Astyanax mexicanus: one gene and its partner. The protein of the gene in region 1 interacts with the protein of each later gene in a pairwise test. Links are inferred from orthologs where the notes say so. Each region holds a gene or a part of one and is shown on either strand. Other genes may lie near its edges.

Region 1 (11,254 bases):
GTTAGCCATTTGACTAAATCTAGCATGTTTAGATTATTACATAATAATGATAATTGATAAAGCTTAAATGATATTTATTGTCCCTGTTATTTAAATACATTAAGTCAAATAAAGTCAAACCCACCCTACTATCTATTACATTGCTGTTATGTATGATTAGCTGAGGAGGTGTGTGTTTGGTAAAGCTACATGCAACTCCAGTGGGATCACTGGTAGCCACTAATTTGATCTACACTCCGTTGCATTCAACAGCACTGACCTCTGAAGCTTCAGCATCCTCTAGTGTCTGGAGAAGGAAAAACACCAATGCTAAGTTGCATATGCATGTGTATGGAGGGGTATGCGTGCTGCACTTTGGTCACTTCTTTGACTGGCAGTTTGCCAACCAATCAAATTAAAGGCCTAATGATTTGCACTACGTCACTGATTACTGCACACCACGTGTCTGCACACCCCGAGGCCTATAGGGTCAATAGGTCACCAGGGGCTGTTTCCAGTCTATAAAAAATCAATACGAATCAGCTGCAGCTTACAAACCCAAAACAGCCATCAGTCACGCTACTGATACCCCATCAACCCCCAAACAGCTACGACCCTGAATCCTGCCTAGGAAATTTAAAAAATAGATATTTAATATTTAATAATAACATTTAATTTAAATTGATTAGGCATTCCTAATAAAGTGACTAGTGAGAGAAAGCACAAGATAAGGTAGGTGTTTCTAATGAAGTGAAGACAAGGTAATAGTAGATGCTTATAAATTGGCCAGTGTGTGGAAGTACAAGATAGGGTAGGTGTTTCTAATAAAGTGGCCAGTTGTAGATGATCCAGCAGGAGTGTGGTTCTGATCCGCAGCAGGGTGAAGCACTGCAGTCAGAACCGCATGCATTAATAAAGCTCTTTCGTTTGTGTACAGAAAGTGTGGGTAGATTTAGAGGCGTGGGCACGGTGCCGCAGGGACGGCTCTTACATAAAGCTGAAACAGACTGAAGAGCCGATGCCCTGCATTATTAAAGCTGTACGATGCCATGCTTTTATACGGTTATTTATAGAAGCTGACTGGCAGTGTGGTGAATATTTGATGGTATACAAGAGTTCAACTCATTACAGTGTGAAGATGTACTGCATGCTGTTATCAAGATCAACAACCAAAATCAACATTAGTGACAATAAATGAACAGCACTTTTAATATCAATCAGCTACATCAGGACCCAGAAGGCCAACCAGTCAGAACCCGTGGAGCTGCAGTCGAGTTGCGCTCGCGTCATCTGGATCGTTCAGTGTAAGGAGGTTAGGATTGAAAGTTTTAGTCAGTCTTTTTCGCGTCCTGGCGCTCTGGTAAAATCAACCGTTTAATATTATCATAAGTCTTGAGACTTGGCTCACGCAAATAGTGATGTGAACAATGTCAACAACCAATAGGAGAGCTCCTGGAAGCCGCAAGACAAGAATATTTTATGTGACTGTTTACAAGCGATTTAAAAAAGAACACATTTTGCAGTTAAAATGCCTTATATGGTTCTTACTTTAATATGTACAGGATTTTAAACACAGGTAGCATTTTAAAGTCGTTATATTATGTATTAAAAATATATATTATTATATATTATTAAATAATATATATTATTAAAAATATCAAGAACTAACAGTGTGGCAAAAAAACAAGTCTCTGATAAATCACAGTATTGATATGCACATTATTTTTTAATTAATATCTAAATTCCACCAGAAGCATGATGGGAAATAATCTCAGAAAGAATCTAGTTGCAGTCTTGCAGTTAGTGATCCCCAGTCTTTGCTAAATCTCAGTCTGTTAGTAAAAAGTCTGTGATGAGTCTTTAGATGCGAGAGGGTGTCAGACTTCAGTCTGTTAAAAGTCTTTTTTGAGTCTTTTTAAAGTCGTGTAGTGTAGGAACAGCTTTAGTAGACACAATTCATTCCCAGCCAATTAGCACTCAATAGTCAAAATTCCAGGCAATTAGCCCTAAAAGCGAACTTTCATCAAAGCAATGAATAGACAGAATGCCAGCATTATTTGACTATTGCTTCGACTATTAGAGATATTGTTCTGCCCAGTTAGGATGCACAAGTGATGCGAATTAAACTGACAACAGGTGCACAAGAGAAGCAACAGTAAGACAACCACCAACAAGTGAAGGGTTTAGCAGGTAGTGTCCACACCCAAATACTCTCTTCTTATCCTTCCTGACTGATTCTTCTCTAGCTTTGCATTTTGCTGTTGTCCTTGTCACTACTGGTAGCATCAGGCAGCACCCGCAGCCTTTCAGGTCTCAAGAGCATGGAGGAGATACCAGGACAAAGGCTGTTACATCAGAATAGCAGGACAGGATCGTGGAAGGGCATCAACCAAGCAACCACAGCAGAGAACTCCAGAATTGCCCTGGTTCTTTCCAAAGTTGAGAGGAAGTTTATTCAGAGTCTGAATAAGCCAATGTGTGATTTAAGCGTTCAATTTTTGTGAGCAGTCTATTAAAATCCACCCACGTCCCTTATGCCCAAATCCAATTATTATTCCTTATCTCAAACCAATTCATACAAATGACAGCATTTCCTAACAGAATTCAGAAGATGTCAGTGGGTTTATATCACAGAGTGCACAGAGTTTTTCTGTATGTTTCCAGTTTAAGAACGACTTTTTGCTAATCAACTGAATGCTACCCTTTAACAGCGCTGGAGTTTTAACTAAAGCTCATCAGAGCCTGAAACACCAAACCAGTACAGACGAGAATCTGAGACTTTAATGAGTCTACTCCATTCAGGTCACACCCATCATCTATAATGGTCCCATTTTCATTTACATACTCTCAACCCTAAAACCCATCAGGATCCCCCCCTAACCTACCCAAACAAAATCAATTACCACATTCAGCGCCGCCCATCAACACGACAACCTGCTGACAAGTTAAACGGAGCAGTGAAGCATGGAGACTCGGAATGGGTAATGCACTGGGACCACCAACCCAGTCTTAAAGAGACAGTCTGGAGATAATTCAGAATTATTATTATTATCTGAATACTGAGCATTTTGAATATTAAAACTCTCAAAAGCGACTTAAGATTTCAACTGTTTAATTATTCTTCATATTCATAAGGCATTAGACTACACAGAAATGATAATTTTCAGGTTAATTACTTTGTATTTTCTTTCATGCATGCATCCACTATTCTACACTATAATGTAGGAATCTTTTAGCAGTAGCAGAGACAACAGGAAGAGAGGAGAAATGGCCAGTTAATTTCTATGCTCTATTTTCATTAAATGAAATGGAATGTTCAGCATCACTTATCACACTCTGTATTTAGTTTATTCCTACTTTACAAATTGACTGTTTTCTAACTGAAAGATATGAGCTGTAGAGGACAGACATAGTAATGTTAGCTGAGCGACCTTAGCCTTAGCATCTTCAAAACAGCCCTGCTGAGGTACATTTATGATTAGAATAGCACTGCTGAGGTACATTTATGTTTGGAATAGCACTGTTATGGTTTATGATTAGAATAGCACTACTGAATTACACTTATAATTAGAATAGAACTGCTGATGTACATTTATGAGTAAAATAGCACTGCAGAAGTAAACCTATGATTAGAGTAGCACTACTGAGGTACATTTAATGATTAGACTAGTTAAATGTGTGACAAGAACAGCACTGCTGAAATAAATTCACTATTAAAATATAATGTGCTTTGCTTTTTTCTGTTAGGATATTAACGCTAAGTGTTAAGTAAGTGCTTTTCCTTTGAAAAACAAGAAAAAATATATTTTTAGACTGTTTAATTTATTTAGTGGTAAAAAGTGGCAAGTTATTTTGGGCCAAACATGTATATTTTGGTGCCCCCCTACTTTAATGTTCATTATATGGGAACATTATAAGGGAACAGCCACTCATGTTGGGTCAGCTGATCTAGCGCTGCACTACTATAGGTCACGGTGTTCCCTAAGGACTAGAAATTTCGTCTGGAGACGCCGCCTAATTCATCAAATCAGCGACACGAGTAATCATCGTCTGATCAGGACAATTCCCCAGAGTGAGTCAGCGATTACCGTCTACAGGGCCGTCTCACTAAACCCTCTTTTTCATCTGGGCTGTCACTTCTGATACTTATACTCCGGGTCTGATTTATTAGATTACACTACACTCACACTGCCATGTGACTTCAGTAACAGCCAATCAAAAATTACATGTTAATGAGCTCATGAGTATTTAGCACAGAGACTAAACTGGCCACAAATTTCAGAATTGTATTTTTTAAATCTGGCTTTTGAATCCGTAATAAGAGGTTGGATGCAAATTAAAAAAGTAATATCATGCAACCCTGTTTACACCTGGTCATGTCATGTGACTAGTATCTAAATTGTGCATGCATTTATACTTGGCAGACAATGGTATGTCTAAATTTCGGCAGTTTATGATGAGTGTATGGTTGTCTTGTCTTATCTTGTCTTGTCACTGATTCAGGTGTGCTGTTATATTCCACACAGGTTCCAGTGTGAATGAGGAGTGTGAGAAGGGAGAATCCAGGCCAGTCAGTGCTATAAATACATCACAGGCCTAACAGAGGTTCAGAACACTGTAAATATACAGGCATACAGCCATGTCTACTCTGCTCCATCATCATAGTAGGATCATAGGATGCCATTTCTTTGCAGGATTAAACATTTAAGACTGTTAACAATTCAATGTGAAATGCTTCATTCTAGAAAAGCTCATAATTGATAGTTTAACACATTAACACAGCCAATAAATGGTGTTTGGAAATAACACAAGTTTTTGGAGCGGAAATAATATAACATTCAACAAATATGACCTCTGCCTTGCTCATGTGTTCCCTGTCACAACCCTTTAACCCTGTTACTAGCATAAAAATTAATCACACAAAACGCTGATTGATGGTAGCAGCACAGACATCCTCTATACCTGCTGGTGTGTTGTGATTCAATCAGAAATTAGAAGATGCAGTATTAAGTAAGACGTATTAAAAGCCATTAATATCTGATTCGACACGATATTTATGGCACAATATAACGTTTTAACATCACTTTATGTGCATATGCAATAGTTACATCGCTATATAAATCACTATCAAAACTGTCTATGCATCTTGGCATGTTCTCCTCCACCAGTCTTACACGCTGCTTTTGGATAACTTTATGCCATTTCTGGTGCAAAAATTCAAGCAGTTCAGTTTAGTTTGATGGCTTGTGATCATCCATCTTCCTCTTGATTATATTCCAGAGGTTTTTAATTTGGAAAAATTAAAGAAAAACATCCTCATTAAGTGCTCTCTTATTTTTTTTCCAGAGCTGTATATGAAATGATTGATTGTGGATTTGTCAATTACAGTGACTTAACCTTGACACAGTCCATAATCATATCATTATGATTTTAGTGCACTATACTGTACTATACTGACTTCATACAGAGCATTACATTAAAGTCTCACAGTCTATAGTACCAAACCGCACACTACCACTAAACAGTACATCAGAACAGTACCCCAGCTTTAGTACACACTCATCTATAGTACACTAGCTGCTCAGCCTACAGAGTGCAGTGTTATCGTGCAGTGTGTGGTTTGGGACGCAGCCTTGAAATAACTGCATATTTACCTATAAGACCAGCAGAAAGACCAGAATTTAAGACCGATTTAAGTAAAAATAAGACGATAAAGTCTAAATTCATCACTTACGGTTGTGCTGAGACGGCAGGCGCGTGCTGTGTGATCAGCTGGGGCATTAACAGCTCTGCTGCCCCCCCCGCCTCACCACTTGGTTTGCCCCACAGCACGCGCGGACAGGCTTACTCATGTTTTCCACGCCCTTCCTGCGCTCGGATTGGCTAATTCTGTCCTCCCACGTGCGCTCTGATTGGCTAACAGCCCGTAGTCTCAAGCTGTTTGCTATATAACCAATCAGAGCGCAGGAAAGCTTATTTTGGCGGAAAATAGGTGGGAAAAAAATGATTTCAAACCAAACCCGTTGATTACAGGCTTATACTTGCGGTAAAATTCATGAATTATTTAGATGAATTATGTAAATTATGAGCTAAACAAACACCCAACGGACGCGATAATATATGATATCAGCTTATAATATAAGACGTAGCCTAAATATCTGCCTAAAAAGAGTATTTCAGTTCAGATAAATTGTAATTTATTTAATAATTTAAAAAAAGGAATAATTGATTTCAAAAATACACTAAATTACATGTATGTATACTATGTTTAGCTAAAGCGCTTTATTAAAATAATCTCATATAAAAAGCTTTAAAACTAATTTTATGATAAAAGTCTGTTTGCCAGATATATCACATAACAAAATTATTAAAAATACAGGGAAGTACCATTATGTACATTTGTTTTGTCATAATTTTTTACAATTATGATTCATCACAGAATATTATTTTGACTAATACAATTCATATTTTAAAGCAATTGACTTTTATAAGTATTATACACTTCTGTCATTTTATTCACATTTAAATATCCAATAATAAAAGCTTTAGTCTTAATAAGTAAAAATGTGTAATTAATGACATAATATTTATGTGGTTCATCAAAAAAAATATTTTAAAATCGATTGACACCACAAGTCAACACAACCTGGATACTGTAGTTAATTCTAAGTTTACTTATGAACTTATATATCAGATCTCTGTACTAAGACCTGATCGGGCTCTCGGGACCCTGGGCGAATTGGTTGGGCTAAGAGGATGGGGTGACAGGGCAGAACTGCATGGTTACCAGGGCAACCCTTTAGAGGCCTTCCCTCTAACATTGAGGAGACGGTTGCCATGCCAACAGTCCATTATGAGTCAGCCCCATGAAAACCCTGGGACGGGGGAGTGGGGGGGGATCTTAAAGGGGTGATGGGGGACGGAGGAGCAGTGAAAGTTATTTGCATTCCTTTTAAATTTGGATTTCCTTTGATACCGACTGAAAACTAGCAGCGGGTGCAGCCTGTACCCCTCCTCACCCGCACCCACCTTCATTATCACTGAGGATAATCGCATGAAAGAGTCGCATTTCCAGGCTTTGAGAGGCTTTGCTGGGCTGGAAATGAAGCATTTACGGCACGCATGACGGCACTGAGGGTTATTTTGCCATTCTGTCTTTATTTATTCAGCTCTTTTTCTTTTGGTTGAGGTATTGTTCCATTTACACTGAATAAAAGTAAAAGAGACAAGGCCTTCCCTCTTGCTTGGCCCACACTACAGGATAAAGAGGGACAGATCAGTGTTTTTGGGACTGATCTCTTATCATTTTTCAGCTTGATCAGCCAATCACCAACACAGCTTGAGGGTGGGGCTAGATGCAACATTAAACTTGGCAATATGTCACAAAAGTGCTGATTATTAAACAGTAAGATTTAGATTTATCACTGCTGCTGCTGTACTTTTGGTGGTGGTTAAATGTGGACTGACCAATTTGATGTTCTGTATGGTCAGCATCATTTGTTTGGCTAGTTGTTTTGCTGTGCTGTAGCTATTTACTGTACAAGCTGTAATATACGCTCCTGAGAGGGGTATCCAGTTAGTGAGGGTTAAATGTCCTTTATGAACTGACCACTGTAAGGGTCAGCTTAATTAATTACATTTCAGCTTTAAATCATCTGATACCGATACAGAACCATAGGATTTTCTATCTCTACTACAGGGTTTGTTTTTTCTTGTAACCGATGAGATATTATTTACAGAGAAATGAAAAAAAGATTTCAGCCAACACATGCTTGGTAAAATTACACATTCTCACAATTACTGCAATCACAAATACAATTTATAAACACAATTTAAATCCACCCTATATACTGTATCTGTATGAAATAAAGGATCATGTCCTAACAGAGAATCAGCACACTACACTTCAGAATATTTCATATTCACGATACATGATCACAACAGCCTAACTAGGGTTATATATTGTCAAGAACTATATATACAATACTATATTGAGATATTTTTGAAATATTGTGATATTAATGGCAAGGCCATTTATTGTGATTGTTACACCCTCTATGGCACAAATGAAATATTTTGGAAAAAAAATGGTATTAATATATCAATGACAAAATCCCCCACAGCAACACTGATCATTTTAATGATGCAGTGGAACTGGATACATTTTTTATTTAAAAAAAATTAAAACACTATTTTATTAAGTAAATGAAAACAACCCCAAAATATTTCTTTACATATTCATGCATATCTATAGTATATTAGATATTTATATTATAGATATTATAGATATTATATAATATTAAAATTAAATTTATTTGGTCAATTGCTGGCACCGTGTCCCATGTGGGTTTGGCTCTAAAAATTATTGTTTCACCCCCAGGTGAAATGTCAAACCCACTTCTACCCCACCTCTTTCAGTGAACGGAGACTTATCTTGATGTTATAATAACATATACTGTAAAAACGAATTATTTTGTTAAAAATAATAAAATAAAAAAATAGATTGTTAAAGGAACAAAGCCCGGTCAGTGTGGACCGGACATCAGCAGCACACAACAACCCCACCCATCTCCAACTACCATCATTCATCCTGTACTGGTTCTGAGTGCAGGATAGTGCAGGCTGGCTAATGCTGGTAAGTGCTGCTCCAGCTGCTTATGTTTATTGATCCATAATGTCTGGATCTGGATGCCACTTTGTCCAAGCAGCTCATTCATCCTGTAGCAGGAAGCCCAGTCCGCCATCAGAGGTTCATAGAGAATGCATCACATACTGATTATACTGATCACCACTAGTGCTGTTTAATCTAATCACTGAGGTAGATGACATTACAGTACTTACAGATTCTTTTTATTTTGGAAAACATATTATTTACTTGGTTATTAGAATCAGAATCAGAATTAGAATCTTTATTCGCCTAGTACAAAAGGCACAAGGATTATTTCTTGGTGCAGGTATCAACATTTAGATTGAATGTATTAATAGATGGATAAAACATCTAAACTGTATATAAGCACAAGATAGACTAAGAAACATGAATTAGAGTACACATGTAAAAGTCCAATAGGATATATGCAATGTAGGTGTTACAAGCAAGCAACAAAACAAAAATACAAAATTACCAAGGGTAAGTTCAATTTAAATATGCAAAAGTGTATAGTATATGGTAAAGACAGTAGATTATACATTAGTTTATACCGATTATATGATATAGTGTAATATAGTATAAAATGGTATAATAGAGTGCAGGTGCAGCACATACAAATAGTTAAAAGGTTCAAAGTTAAAATAAAGAAATGTAGACGTGTCCTTGGTTATTATTGCATTATTTTGAATGCTTATGCTTGTATTGAATTACACTCCCAAAGGACAAAGTACACTTCATACAATTTATTCTATTTTATTCATATTTATTTAGGTGTTAATTTTAGGTATTATTTTTCTTATCCTGTTTGAAGATTGAGTTAAAAACTCAGGTTCTACCTTCAGTGCTATGTAGAACCTACTTACCAGCGTTACCTTGTACAAATCCAATTGCTCAAACCACTTCAGGAGATGGTCTGAGACACATTTATAACAGAAACATGATTTAGACTGTTGTAATGGGTTAAATACAGATACACATCTATTTAATGAGGCTGTTCTTTATAACCAGTAACATAATTAACAGGCTAGTTGGTGTGTAGACATGTTGATCTTACCCCATCATAAGATCTGTAGGTTCTGGTGGTGAGAATTGATTGAAGAGACTCCTCTCAGACTTTTCTTTTCAGGGTTTCATCACTAATAGATCTGAAAAACATAGTTACTGTTATTACAGGAGATCTACACGACACTGAAGACCCCACAGAGGATGTAGTAAATGTGGGGGGGTCGGTGTGTGTTGTGCTGGTATAAGTGGATCAGATACAGCTGCTACATCTTGTAGATGTAAAGTCAGAGATATAAGCTCTGAGTCTGTTGCTGCACAGTTTGTGTTTGTCCTTCATCAGTGCTCACAGGACGCTGTTGGTGAGTCCAGCAGAGACACAGAGGTGTTTAAAAACTCCAGCAGCACTGCTGTGTCGTACTGCTTTTTGATTTTACTATATGTAAACAACATATAGCAGCTGGATCTTCTCTGAGGAGAGGAACTTTCCCCCAGTCTACAAATCTTCCGTTAGCTCCTTAACTCTAATCACCAAACACGCTAATCCAGCCCGCTGCCTTCAATGGACAGTCAGTGTTATTTCTAGTCTTGCTTGTTGTGTTATTGATAGTGTTCAGTTATTGATGGTAGAGGTATACAGTATTGTGCAAATGTTTTAGGCACATGTGGAAATTTCAGTAAGGAATAAGTGTCTAAGCTCAGTAAAACACTTATAGCATTACAGTAAATACTAACAGCAATTTTACAAAAAACAGAGATTTTACAGCCCTGTTTTCCTTTAAACATCTTCTAATCTCTCCTCCTCATCTGGGTTTAATAGAGTTATTTCTAGTTCTCATCATATTAATCAACACCTGGTTTGGAAAATTGGTAAATGTGGTAAATCAGGTGAGCTGCTGACGGAACTGAACATAATGTACACATGCTGGCTGAGGAGCATCCAGGAGAAATCTGAAACTACACTAACTGTTCTTCAGCTTGGCTCACAGGATAAAACATACTTAGTTAAAAATGAGAAATTATTGTTACTTTTTACTGTATGTATGATTATTTTGTATGTGGTGCTTTTTTCAGGTAAAAACACTCATATTGCTATATATTATGATTATTATTCAGAGTGGGGGTTTGAGATGAACTCATTCAAAGTGAATGAAATCATAAATGGAAGCACTATAACATAAATATACATATATATATATATATATGTATATTTTATTAACTATTCAACCCACCAGTGAATCTGCTGAGTTTTATATGGAATGATGATAATGGTCAAATAGTGGCAAATGTACTCACATACAGGGAATGTTTTTAGGCACTATTTTGCTGCACAGTTCCCTGCATATTGCGTATGTATCCCTCCATCATTTTAATGATATCTGAGAGCCAAAATCTTCTCAGATCTCTATTAAGAGAGTGTGTCAGGCATCAGACAGTGTACACATAATCATTTTTAAAATACTATATTATACTAAATGATAGTATAGTCTATAATGGTATTTTTGATTTCATTTAAGTAAAATATAGATCTGAAGTACTCATTAAAAAAGTAGATGGATACATGGAATGCTATATAGTGAACAGTATAGTGAGCACACAGCCAACACAGAGTTATCAGTTAAGAAA
Region 2 (11,911 bases), on another chromosome or scaffold:
ATACGCAATCTTGCTTGATATGCTCTGACTTGTCTGTGTGCTAGGGATAGATGGCAAAAATCATTCCCAAAAGCAATCTAATAAACTATGTTAGAACAGAAACTGTGCTGTGCACGACACAGAAATGCTATTATGAATTCAGATACTCACAAGAAGACTGGATTGTCCCTGTAATCTTCAATAGCTTTCTTCTCAAGCTCCGGCCCCCCTTCAGCGACGAAAGTAGCCATCCGGTCGATGATGAGGACCAAGTCTTCATCCTCTGGGGGGGAAACTTTAAGCAGGCTATGAGTACGCCGCCATAACTCACACACTCACAACTGCGTACTAACAAGACAGGACACGGGGAGTGGAGGGCTGTGAAACATGCAGTATCCACAAAAGCAGCATGTTTCGGCAGCTTCAATCAAACCCTGGGCACTTTATCCCAAAAGAACAGTCTTTAACAAGATGCTAACACTATTAGCCCAGGGTACATTTCAGATGGATTCAAGTAGTTAAATAACTCTCAGTTTTTTGAGGTCTTGCTTTAATCAAAGTATATTTTTAATCCTTATTAACGACCCTTAGCTAATTTTAGTAAAGTTACGTTTTGCTTGGTATGTGGATAACATGTATGTTCACCAAGGAGAACATGTATGAATTCTATCATTCTATCCTTACATCACATTATATTTTTGTATCCCTCCCTTTTTAAATGTCTACATTTATCACATTCATAATTACATGAAGGTAATTATGATTCAAACAAGCTGTGAGTGTCTACCTTTAACCTCCAGGTAATGTTCATCCTCTTCCTCTGCATCCTCCTCATCTGGGGAGCTGAAGACACTCGGCCTGGGGATCTGTAACTGGGTCTTCTTGGACTGGGAATAGCTCTTAAACTGGTTTAGCATGCTGCTAACACCCAAGCCGGGTCGTTTCCCAACTAGAATGCTCTTCTTCTGACTCTGAGAGGAGAGGGTGGAGCTTTTGGAGTCTGTGCTGGATCCTGGGGGAATACCATAAAATATATTGAACTGTTAAAAGATATCTTACGAGTGACCAACCTTCACAATACATAAATACAATCTAATCTGTCAGTGCTTCACACAAGCTAATTTACACATGTTTTTTGGGCCTTGTTTTTATTAGGTATCTACCTAGATATCATAATTATGATAAATATAAGATGTTATTGATGGACCTGTAATTGCAACTAATAGCACTGTTTTTGGAAATAAAACCCATTGACCAAATATTTCACAATGGAGAAGACAGAAGTTGCATAAGGTATGTAAAAAAATATTAAGCTTAGATTCAACAATAACTAAAACATATTTTATAACCATGCTTTGATGTAATAGTCATTATTGCTGTAAGAATTTAAATGTCAATTTTCTACATATTTGTAAGATATGGATTACTGTTTATTTCAAAGGAGTAATTTATTTATTTAGTTCTTTTAGGGTTTTTTGTTTCATTTACAATATTTGCTAGTATGAGGTTCATAACAATATAGACATTTTGTTATTGCCTTGTAATGTATGAACAAAAGCGTATGACACTAAATACATGTAAACAGGGACTAAACCAACACACACTTCTGTAAACAATAACCACTCTACAATGGACACCCCTCTGTATTGGGGAGGTTAAAACATGTCTGAAAAGGGTTTTGAACCTGAATCAGTGCTAGATTTCTCCTTTTGCATCTTCAGGAACTGCTGCAGGAAGCTTCCGTCATTCACAAACTTGTTCGAGGTTGATCCCTGTAAAGTTGGGCTGCTGAAAAACAGTATAAATACAATATGAAATTAATACCCAAAGAGTGCTTTGTGCTCTCAACAATCCAAAGTGAAATAATGAGAATTTGTAGATAAGTTACCTTGGTGGTATTGGCTTGCTAGGAGCTGATATGTTCCGTTTAGCTTGCTCTGCCATTTTTGCCTCGATTTCACGCTTCTTCTGAGCGATCAACTCCTCCTGCCTCATAATAACGTTGAGCTTGCTCTTCTGAGCAAATTTATTATTGTTATTATTCTTCCAGCCTCCTCGACCTGCAACACAAAATGTACAGTTAACATCAGGCTGAAACTGGCTTAGGATCTGTTATAATACACAACATATGATCAAAGGTCTAAAAGTATGGCATATACATTAGGCACTTTTCTGCTTAGCGCTTTTAGGTAAAGCCCAGGGACCTACAATTAAAAAATGTGTTCCCTCAATAATGTATTGAGTATTCTTAATTATGAATTGAGACATAAGTAATATATATATATATATATATATATATATATATATATATATATATATATATATATATATATATATATATATATCTAATAAAGGGATAAATAACATAATTGAATGAGAAGTTGTGTATTTAAACTTTTGACTAGTACTGTAGCTTATGTCTCATATATTTCTACAGACAATAATAAATAACACTGGGAATGAACCTCTACTATTTATAAAGTGCTATTTTTTACATTTTAATACACAGGGGCAGCAAAAAAGCAGCTCTGCAAAAAAAATAAAGAGACCACTTAAAAAATTATGAGTTTCTTTGATTTTACCTAATTGAAAACCTCCAGAATATAATCAAGAGGAGGATGGATGATCACAAACCATCAAACCGAGCTGAACTGCTTGATTTTTTTAATCAGGAGTAAAGACATAAAGTTATCCACAATCAGTGTGAAAGACTGGTGGAGGAGAACATCACAAGAAGAATGAAAACTCTGAATAAAAACCAGGGTTATTCCACCAAATATTGGTTTCTGTACTCTTAAAACTTTATGAATATGAACTTGTTTTCTTTGCATTGTTTGAGGTCTGAAAGCTCTGCATATTGTTTTGTTATTTCAGCCATTTCTCGATTGCATTTTCTACAAATAAATGCTCTAAATGACATGTTCATTTAATTCAAACATATATCTATAAATAGCAAAATCAGAGAAACTGATTCAGAAAATTAAGTGCTCTCTTGTTTTTTTTCAGAGCTGTATAACTAGAGCTGACATTAGCTAACCTAATCTAAACTAACGCTAGTTAACCTACAGCCGCTGACTAAGCTAACTTGGTTAGTTAGCCATAGTTGAAGATTAAAATACAATAAATCAACGAATTAAGTTACTAATTTTACGTATTACACAAAGGAATGTTAGTATTAGTAACTGCTAGTCAAATAAGTAACTTATATTAAGGATAAAGAATAAAGCTAAGCTAGCTAAGGGTGTGTATAATCTAGCTAAACTAGGCTAAAATATGCTAAGCTAAGCTAAAGCCCTAGCTAACACCATGCTAGCCTTATTACTAGCTAGCGATACGCAGGCAGCTCAAACACCATAATCAGCGGATCCCCGCGGCTACACTCATTATTGTTTTAATGTGTTTTAATATAGTTAATTTACCTCCATCGTTCGCCTCCATTTTCAGCCCCTTGTTTACTCAGTTGGTCAGTTGGGGTTGGATCTTTGCCTGCCGGGAGACGGGCGGCAGTGGTGGGTCTGCGTGACGTCACCCGCCAGCCACTTTTTCATCGACCCGGCAGTGCCAGGCACGTACCCGGCAGTACTAAAAACTGTCAGGGAGCTTCCTGACAGTACGCCGGCACTACTAAAAACTGTCAGGGGGCTAACTGACAGTACGCCGGCAGTTTTAAAAACTGTCAGGGAGCTTCCTGACAGTACGCCGGCACTACTAAAAACTGTCAGAGAGCTTCCTGACAGTACGCCGGCAGTATTAAAAACTGCCAGGGAGCTTGCTGACAGTACGCCGGCACTATTAAAAACTGTCAGGGAGCTTCCTGACAGTATGCCGGCACTACTAAAAACTGTCAGGGGGCTTGCTCACAGTACGCCGGCACTATTAAAAACTGTCAGGGAGCTTGCTGACAGTATGCCGGCAGTTTTAAAAACTGTCAGGTAGCTTCGTGACAGTACGCCGGCACTACTAAAAACTGTCAGGGAGCTTCCTGACAGTACGCCGGCAGTTTTAAAAACTGTCAGGGAGCTTCCTGACAGTACGCCGGCACTACTAAAAACTGTCAGGGAGCTTCCTGACAGTACGCCGGCAGTTTTAAAAACTGCCAGGGAGCTTGCTGACAGTACGCCGGCACTATTAAAAACTGTCAGGGAGCTTCCTGACAGTATGCCGGCACTACTAAAAACTGTCAGGGGGCTTGCTCACAGTACGCCGGCACTATTAAAAACTGTCAGGGAGCTTGCTGACAGTATGCCGGCAGTTTTAAAAACTGTCAGGTAGCTTCGTGACAGTACGCCGGCACTACTAAAAACTGTCAGGGAGCTTCCTGACAGTACGCCGGCAGTTTTAAAAACTGTCAGGGAGCTTCCTGACAGTACGCCGGCACTACTAAAAACTGTCAGGGAGCTTCCTGACAGTACGCCGGCAGTTTTAAAAACTGCCAGGGAGCTTGCTGACAGTACGCCGGCACTATTAAAAACTGTCAGGGAGCTTCCTGACAGTATGCCGGCACTACTAAAAACTGTCAGGGGGCTTGCTCACAGTACGCCGGCACTATTAAAAACTGTCAGGGAGCTTGCTGACAGTATGCCGGCAGTTTTAAAAACTGTCAGGGAGCCTGCTGACAGTACGCCGGCAGTTTTAAAAACTGTCAAGGAGCTAGCCTAGGATGGACTCTTTCATATGGGAGTGGACCTGTTTTGGCATTATGGAAAAATCATGAGAAATTTAATTTTAAGCATAAATAATAAAAATAAATAAATAATATAAAATAAACAATACAGTGAATTTTTCCCAAACTTGCAGGAGTCATAGCCTAGGACAGACTCTTTCAAATTGTAGAGATCATGAGATCATGAGAAATTTAATTTTAAACATGAATAAAATAATAATAATAATAATAATAATAATAATAATAATATAAAATAAACAATACAGTGAAATTTGCCGAAACTTGCAGAGGTGATAGCCTATGTTTTGGCATCAAATGCTAACAGTGGAACTGTTTTGGTATTATGGGAAAATCATGAGAAATTAAATTTTAAGCATAAAAAATAAATAAATTAATATAAAATAAACAATACAGTGAAATTTGCCCAAACTTGCAGGAGTCAAAGCCTAGGACAGACTCGTTCAAATGGTAATGGAACTGTTTTGGCATTATGGGAAAATCATGAGAAATGTCATTTTAAGCATAAAAAAAAAAAAATGTATATAAAATAAACAAAACAGTGAAATTTGCCCAAATATGCAGGAGTCATGGTAGTGGATCTATTTTGGCATTATGGGAAAATCATGAGAAATTTAATTTTAAACAAGAATAAAAAAACATTAATAATAATAATAATAATAATAATAATAATAATAATAATAATAATAATAATAATATAAAATAAAAAATACAGTGAAATTTGCCCAAACTTGCAGAGGTGACAGCCTATGTTGTACTCTTTCAAATGGTAGTGGACCAGTTTTGGCATTATGGGAAAATCATGAAAAATTTTATTTTAAACACGCATACAATTTTTTTATTAATATAAAATAAACCATACAGTGAAAATTGCCCACACTTGCAGAAGTGATAGTCTAGGATGGACTCTTTTACAAGGTACTGGATCTGTTTTGGTTTTTTGGGAAACTCATGAGAAATTTAATTTGAAGCATGGATTGAAAAAAGTAATATTAATATAAAACTCTCTCTCTCTCTCTCTCTCTTAAACACTGATGGGATATTATATCAAATAGATAATGTACTGCACAAAATATACAGTGAGGTGAGTTATTTTAATCCGTTTTTTCTCGTTTCTGGGCTTAATGTATGTCTGAATTAATATAATAGACTGAAACGTGTCGGTCTCCCGTTCTCTGTGTTTTTTAAGCGTGCTGTTTACCGTAAAATCGCACGTATACGCGCATCTAAACTTAAAGCGCGGATGACTTGACTGAGAATTTCCGAAGCGCGGATAGCTTGACTCCGGTCTTACTGTCAGCTAGCCCCCTGACAGTTTTTAGTAGTGCCGGCGTACTGTCAGGAAGCTCCCTGACAGTTTTTAGTAGTGCCGGCGTACTGTCAGGAAGCTACCTGACAGTTTTTAGTACTGCCGGGTACGTGCCTGACACTGCCGGGTCGATGAAAAAGTGGCTGGCGGGTGACGTCACGAAGACCCACCACTGCCGCCCGTCTCCCGGCAGGCAGAGATCCAACCCCCTCTCCAGTTGGTACTCAGTAACTGTTTCGCCTCGTCTCGAAAACAAACCCGCTGTACTGTAGAGGAGTTCACACCGCCGCCCGCAGCGCAGGAGGAGAAACTGTGGAGCAGATTTTACTGAATGGAGCTGGAGATGGTGAAGGAGTTCCCCACAGATAAGTAGAGCAAAACACTCTTAAATTAGACATTTTCAGAAGTGCTGCTTTTTGTTGGACTTTTTTTTAGGTCTCTTTCAGACCAAGCTTATAATACACAGAGGTGGAAAAAGTATTGAAAAATTGTAATTAAGTAAAAGTACCATTACTTTGCTAAAATTCTACTCAAGTAAAAGTACCCATCTAAAAAATCTACTCGAGGAAAAAGTAAAAAAGTACTCAATTTACAATTTACTTTGAGTAAAAGTTACATAGTTACTTTTAATTATTTGATGTAAAAAAAGTACAAAACATAAATTAAATATATTTAATGAATTATTATTCCAAATAATAATTTGGACCTTTCAGGCAGTATTTGTTCAGACCACCCCATAAAACATTTTTAAAAACAAGTGGCATAGGTTTCTATGATCCATTTTTTTCTTTACCGTTTAAAAGTTATGGTCATATACATGACTATAAACTGTATTGCTATAGTTTTACAGTTCATTATCATTTTTTTAACTTGCCATTGCCATGCTTTAACTGCTATTTACATGTTTTTGTTTTTTACATTTAAGAAGATTGTTTAATGTTTCCAATAAAAAACTTAAGGAATTATCATGAAAAACATAAAATCATACAAAAAAAAAAAAAACCTAAAGAAACACATATCGATGGGTAGCATAACTCTACAGAACACCGGTTTCCCCCGAGCACAGCTGATTTACACAGCGTCTCTCTCGCTAACCGTAATAAACACTGCTGGGAAACGTTCAGCTGCGCTGCCATGGAGAACAAAACTCAACAAAACCCCAACATTTAATTATTTACTCAGTAACGGGGAGTTTTCCAATGTAGTGAAGTAAATTACTTGTGTCAAAATGTACTTGAGTAAAAAGAGTAAAAATTACCTATTTTATAAACTACTTAAAAAATTACAAATTAAAAAATAAAATATAAAATCTACTCAATTACAGTAATTTGAATAAATGTAATTCATGACTTTCCTGATAATACACTATACACACATACACTACACGACTTTGAAAAGACTTTTAACAGACTAAAGTCTGACACCCTCTCACATCTAAAGACAAGTCACAGACTTTTTACTAACAGGCTAAGATTTTGCAAAGACTGGGGATCACTAACTGCAAGACTGCAACTAGATTCTTTCTGAGATCATTTTCCCATCATGCTTCTGGTGGAGTTTACATGCAATACATATTAAGTTATCATACAAATAATGTGCTTATCAATACTGTGATTTATCAGAGACTCACAACTTTTCTGCCCATCAACAGTTTATTTTTCTGCCACACTGTTAGTTCTTGATATTTTTAAATAGAATACATTTCGTGTTCAACTAAGCTTTGTTATAACCTTGTATAGCAAAGAATCACAGTTTCAGAATCTCAGTTATACATTTGCCTTTGTTTTAGATAGAATTAATGCAATAAAGAACATCATTCTTGCAAAATGTTTATTTATTAAAATTGTTTGTATCAAAAATAACACTGCACAATAAGACAAAGTAGTGCAAAATAAAATAACTTTAAATATAATTATTTTAAAGAACCATATAGGGCATATTAAATGCAAAATGTGTTCTTTTTCAAATTGTTTGTAAACCACATCACTATTTACTTCACTATTGTGTGAGCCGGAATTATGTGACAACATGAGATCCTAATGCATGGATACGACTTAATTAAGCGTGGGAACAAGAACCTAATATGTGGGAACGAGATAATTAAGGCATGGGAACAAGATCCTAATGAGTGGCCCCTACTTATTTAAGAATGGGAACGAGAACCTAATGCGCAGGAACGAGATAACTAAGCCATAGTAACAAGATCCTAATGCGTGGCCACGACTTATTAAAGAGTGGGAAGGAGATCCTAATGCATGGCCATGACTTAGTAAAGCGTGAGAACGAGAACCTAATGCGCATACATATATATATATAAAAGTGTGCGTACCTCTGACAGCAAAACCTCAGATCCGTGATCGATAAAGTTCCTTTTCTTCGCCATTTTCCTAATAAGAGTATTGCAAGGCATATTTGACTAATTAGCATATTATAATCTTCATAATGGAGGAAGGAGACAAGGCAGAGTATTGTGTTCCTGCATGTGCGCTTAATTTGAATTTGATTGTGATGTATTACAATAGTGTGGGTCAAAATCTACTTAAATACGGTTTCATACATCTGTTTTTTTTAGTGCATATAGAACTTTTCATTTTCATTTCATTTTATTATTAATTCCACACAACTCTTAGTTCATGAGGCCCCAGGTCTGCTACAACTGGTCTAAAACAGAAATGTATAGTGCTAGAGACACAGACTTGAGTAAAAATCTGAGTAGAAGTGTTCTATCAAAAAAAGTGATACTTATCCCATTTGGGGTCAGAGAGCAAGGGCAGACATGGTACAATGCCCCTGGAACAGCAGACAATATGGATATTATATTAAACCTGGGTATCAAACCCAAAAGCTTGGTATTGATTATCCAGCATTTAAACTGCTAAGCCAACACTGCCCTAAATGACCTAAATGGTCATATGTGCCTGCAAAACTTTTTTTTTTTTGCAAGGGCAATTTTTAAAACTGTACAGACATAGATAATATACAGAAGTAGAATTAAAGACAAATTCCCACTTATAATTTAATTACAAGTAAACACAAAGCTAATCTTAAATATCAAACAAATAGCACATTTAATTCTGGTTCATCTTGCTGAACCCCCTCTGTGCTGCAGCCCAGGTAAAGCAGGTGTAATCTGAACCCCGGGTGAGGCGTCACCCCCCGTTCTCAGCGGGGGCTCGCTGCCATCGGCACTCCAGCTGACCGACAGCCTCATTCAGGTCCAAAAACGGCTGCCATTCAGCGCAATGAAAACGATGAAATGCCTCCATTATAATGGTGAGGTGAAGGGCCCGGCAGGGCGGACACCCGATCCCCTCTCCATTGTCTCGTACATTTCATATCTGAAATATCTGCCCACACTCCCTTCTGGTACACACTGACACTCACTCACATGGGGCTCTGGGGCTCACTCTGGCTGAGCGGGAATGGGGAACAAGCAGACCATTTTCACTGCCCAGCAACTGGACGCATATCAGGTCAGTCAGGAGAAGCTGCATAGAATTAATTAATTTATTTATGGCTTGTGTTAGAGAGGTGCAAAAAGAACATCTATAATAATGCAGTTTAAATGTGCAAACTCTTCATGTCCTTTTGTAATTTAACGTAGTGTGTATCAGTGTGTATGAATTGTGGACTGTAAAAGTTATATTATTGTTAGTGAATTATTTCGTTCATCCTCTTAAATTCACAGGACTGCACATACTTTACCAGAAAAGAGATTTTAAGGTAAGTCTTTTCCTCTTTAAACTTTAAGCTGCCCTACACTGAACAATGTAAGACAGGACAATTTGAAATAATTATTTGTGTTTACTCAACTGAGTTTAGTTAAAAGTTTTTCCTACTCACATTTTCAGTTCAGCATCTCATTTTTAGTAGTTGAGTCTTATATCAGTAAATGAGTAAATGCCTAAATTTTGTACGATTTGTTGGAGGTTTATTCTTATCTGCAGGTCACACCTCCCAGTATCACATGGGGAGGGGAGGCCTTCCTTTTTTAGACTCTTGACAAGCAGGCACTTAGAGAGTTGCTCCACTCTAGAGCTGTGAAATATATACAACTCTGGAAAAAATAAGAAGCCATTTAAAAATGATGAGTTTCTTTGATTTTAGCAAATGGAAAACCTCTGCAATATAATAAAGAGGAAGATGGATGATCACAAACCATCAACCCTGCATTTTACTCTGAGAACTTTCTGTAATAACTACACTAATAACACAGTACTGTACTTTTACTTTCAGTACTTCAGTACTACATTTTACAACTATTAAAGTTGAATACTTTAATACCTCCACTTAAGTGTGGAGCTTAAGGAACACTTTATCTTCTACTCAATTCACTATTTTGATAGAGCACTTGTACTTTTACTCTTTTAAGTCTGGGTATCTAGTACTTTATACATGTCTGCTCTGTAATCAGACTATATTATTTTATGTTTGCAAGATTTTAGATTTAGTTAAATGGGCTTTAGGCTCCTTAAAAGTTTTTGGCAATACCACCCACAGTGGACAAAGCAGGGGGTGGTAATGATCGTGACCTGCAGTGTCTGGTTAGAATTGTCCATGCTATCTGACAAACGATTCTGGCACACATATCTAACAGATCAGGGCAGTGTTCTTTAGTTTCTATGGGACAGGCCAAAAGTCATGGGACAGTGTAATTACACTATACACATATTAAATAAGTATTGCCATTGGTGCAGTTGCCTTTAAGACAAGGGGGACCCCACTTTTAAATCCACTTTCTCTTCAAATCACCTTTTCTTTAACATTATCTACAGGTTGTGAACACACAAAGAAAAATAAGTACAGATTTGTATTTAAAAGATTATAAAGCTGGGGCTGTATCTTATATTGAGGTACAACAGAGTACCTTTCAGTGGAAGTATTTTTTTGTACTTGTGTTTTTTGAACCAGTAAAGATTATAAAGATTATAAACCTTATCATCAACTGAATATGTGTCAAGAACATGATGATCTAAAATTGTCTGGCTTTTACATTAAAAATGTATAAATAAAATATGTATTGTTTATTAGTACAGTGATACAGAATACCGGATGTAACTTTTGGCTGGTTAAATGGTACAAATTTGTACTTTCTGCTGTTATTGATCCTGTTAAGGTCAATATTATACCTTTGAGGGTACAATTATGTAAAGTGTAGCTTTGAGTACAAAAGCTGTTTTTTAGTGTGAAGAAAATTTTTAAATTAAGTTAATTTTTGCAAAAACATACAGTATGTCACTGGTTATCCAAATTAATGAGATGCCCTTACCATTATCTTCTAGACTGTTCCATAGGTACCGCGATTTGGCTCCTCAGCTGGTTCCACTGGACTACACCAACCAGCCAGATGTGCGTTTGCCGTACGAGCTGATTGGCAGCATGCCGGAGCTGAAGGTGCAGTATATCTCACACAGCGCATCGCGCCGCCCATGCCGTGTTCCTTATTAATTATGGATCCCCTACTAATTGATAGCAGTCTTGGAGAGGTTATGTGTCATCAGATCCCCCTGAACTGGAGATAACAGAAAAGTCCACGGAGGCTTTAGACTCGTGCGAGTAATAGCACTGCTCGGTAGCTGTCTGTCACAACAGGACCGGGACAGTCCAACAAGCGACTTTCACTTTCTGGAACCTTTTCACCAATAAACACGGAGTACATGCTGTGTTTTAAAGGTTTTAAGGGTTTTGTTTCATGATACACTGAATAGCATTTGCATTATTTTTTGTATTGTAATTGGATTGCCATTATCCTCCATTAATTAAAAAAAAAACACTTTTTAAAATCATTTTAATTAAATATAGATAATTAATTCAGAATTAAACTGGGAGTATTTTGTTTCTGCGCATTTAAAGCAGCAGTCCTTAATTTTTTTTCTGTTAAATTAACAGTAGTAGTATTCCTGAGTGGGAAAAGGGCAAAATATTATAATAAATGGCATCAG

Evidence for each region.
Region 2: the proteins of trim2a (region 1) and cib3 interact in binary tests that used the Homo sapiens proteins (3 or more experiments, as listed by UniProt). The two-hybrid records come from large-scale screens. The link is inferred for Astyanax mexicanus from reciprocal best matches to the Homo sapiens genes TRIM2 and CIB3.

What each region holds. Positions count from the first base shown.
Region 1 is NC_064432.1:21,840,353-21,851,606, forward strand, and holds the start of trim2a (tripartite motif-containing protein 2), read right to left. Parts: upstream 5,778-11,254; 5' UTR 5,714-5,777; intron 1-5,713. UniProt on the Homo sapiens protein: UBE2D1-dependent E3 ubiquitin-protein ligase that mediates the ubiquitination of NEFL and of phosphorylated BCL2L11. Plays a neuroprotective function. May play a role in neuronal rapid ischemic tolerance.
Region 2 is NC_064411.1:47,998,057-48,009,967, forward strand, and holds the start of cib3 (calcium and integrin-binding family member 3), read left to right. Parts: upstream 1-6,638; 5' UTR 6,639-9,391; coding exon 9,392-9,442; intron 9,443-9,657; coding exon 9,658-9,692; intron 9,693-11,251; coding exon 11,252-11,363; intron 11,364-11,911. Other genes in the region: sugp1 (SURP and G-patch domain-containing protein 1), read right to left, coding at 151-274, 767-991, 1,664-1,767, 1,868-2,039, 3,399-3,417. UniProt on the Homo sapiens protein: Acts a an auxiliary subunit of the sensory mechanoelectrical transduction (MET) channel in hair cells. Plays a role in regulating hair cell MET channel localization and function.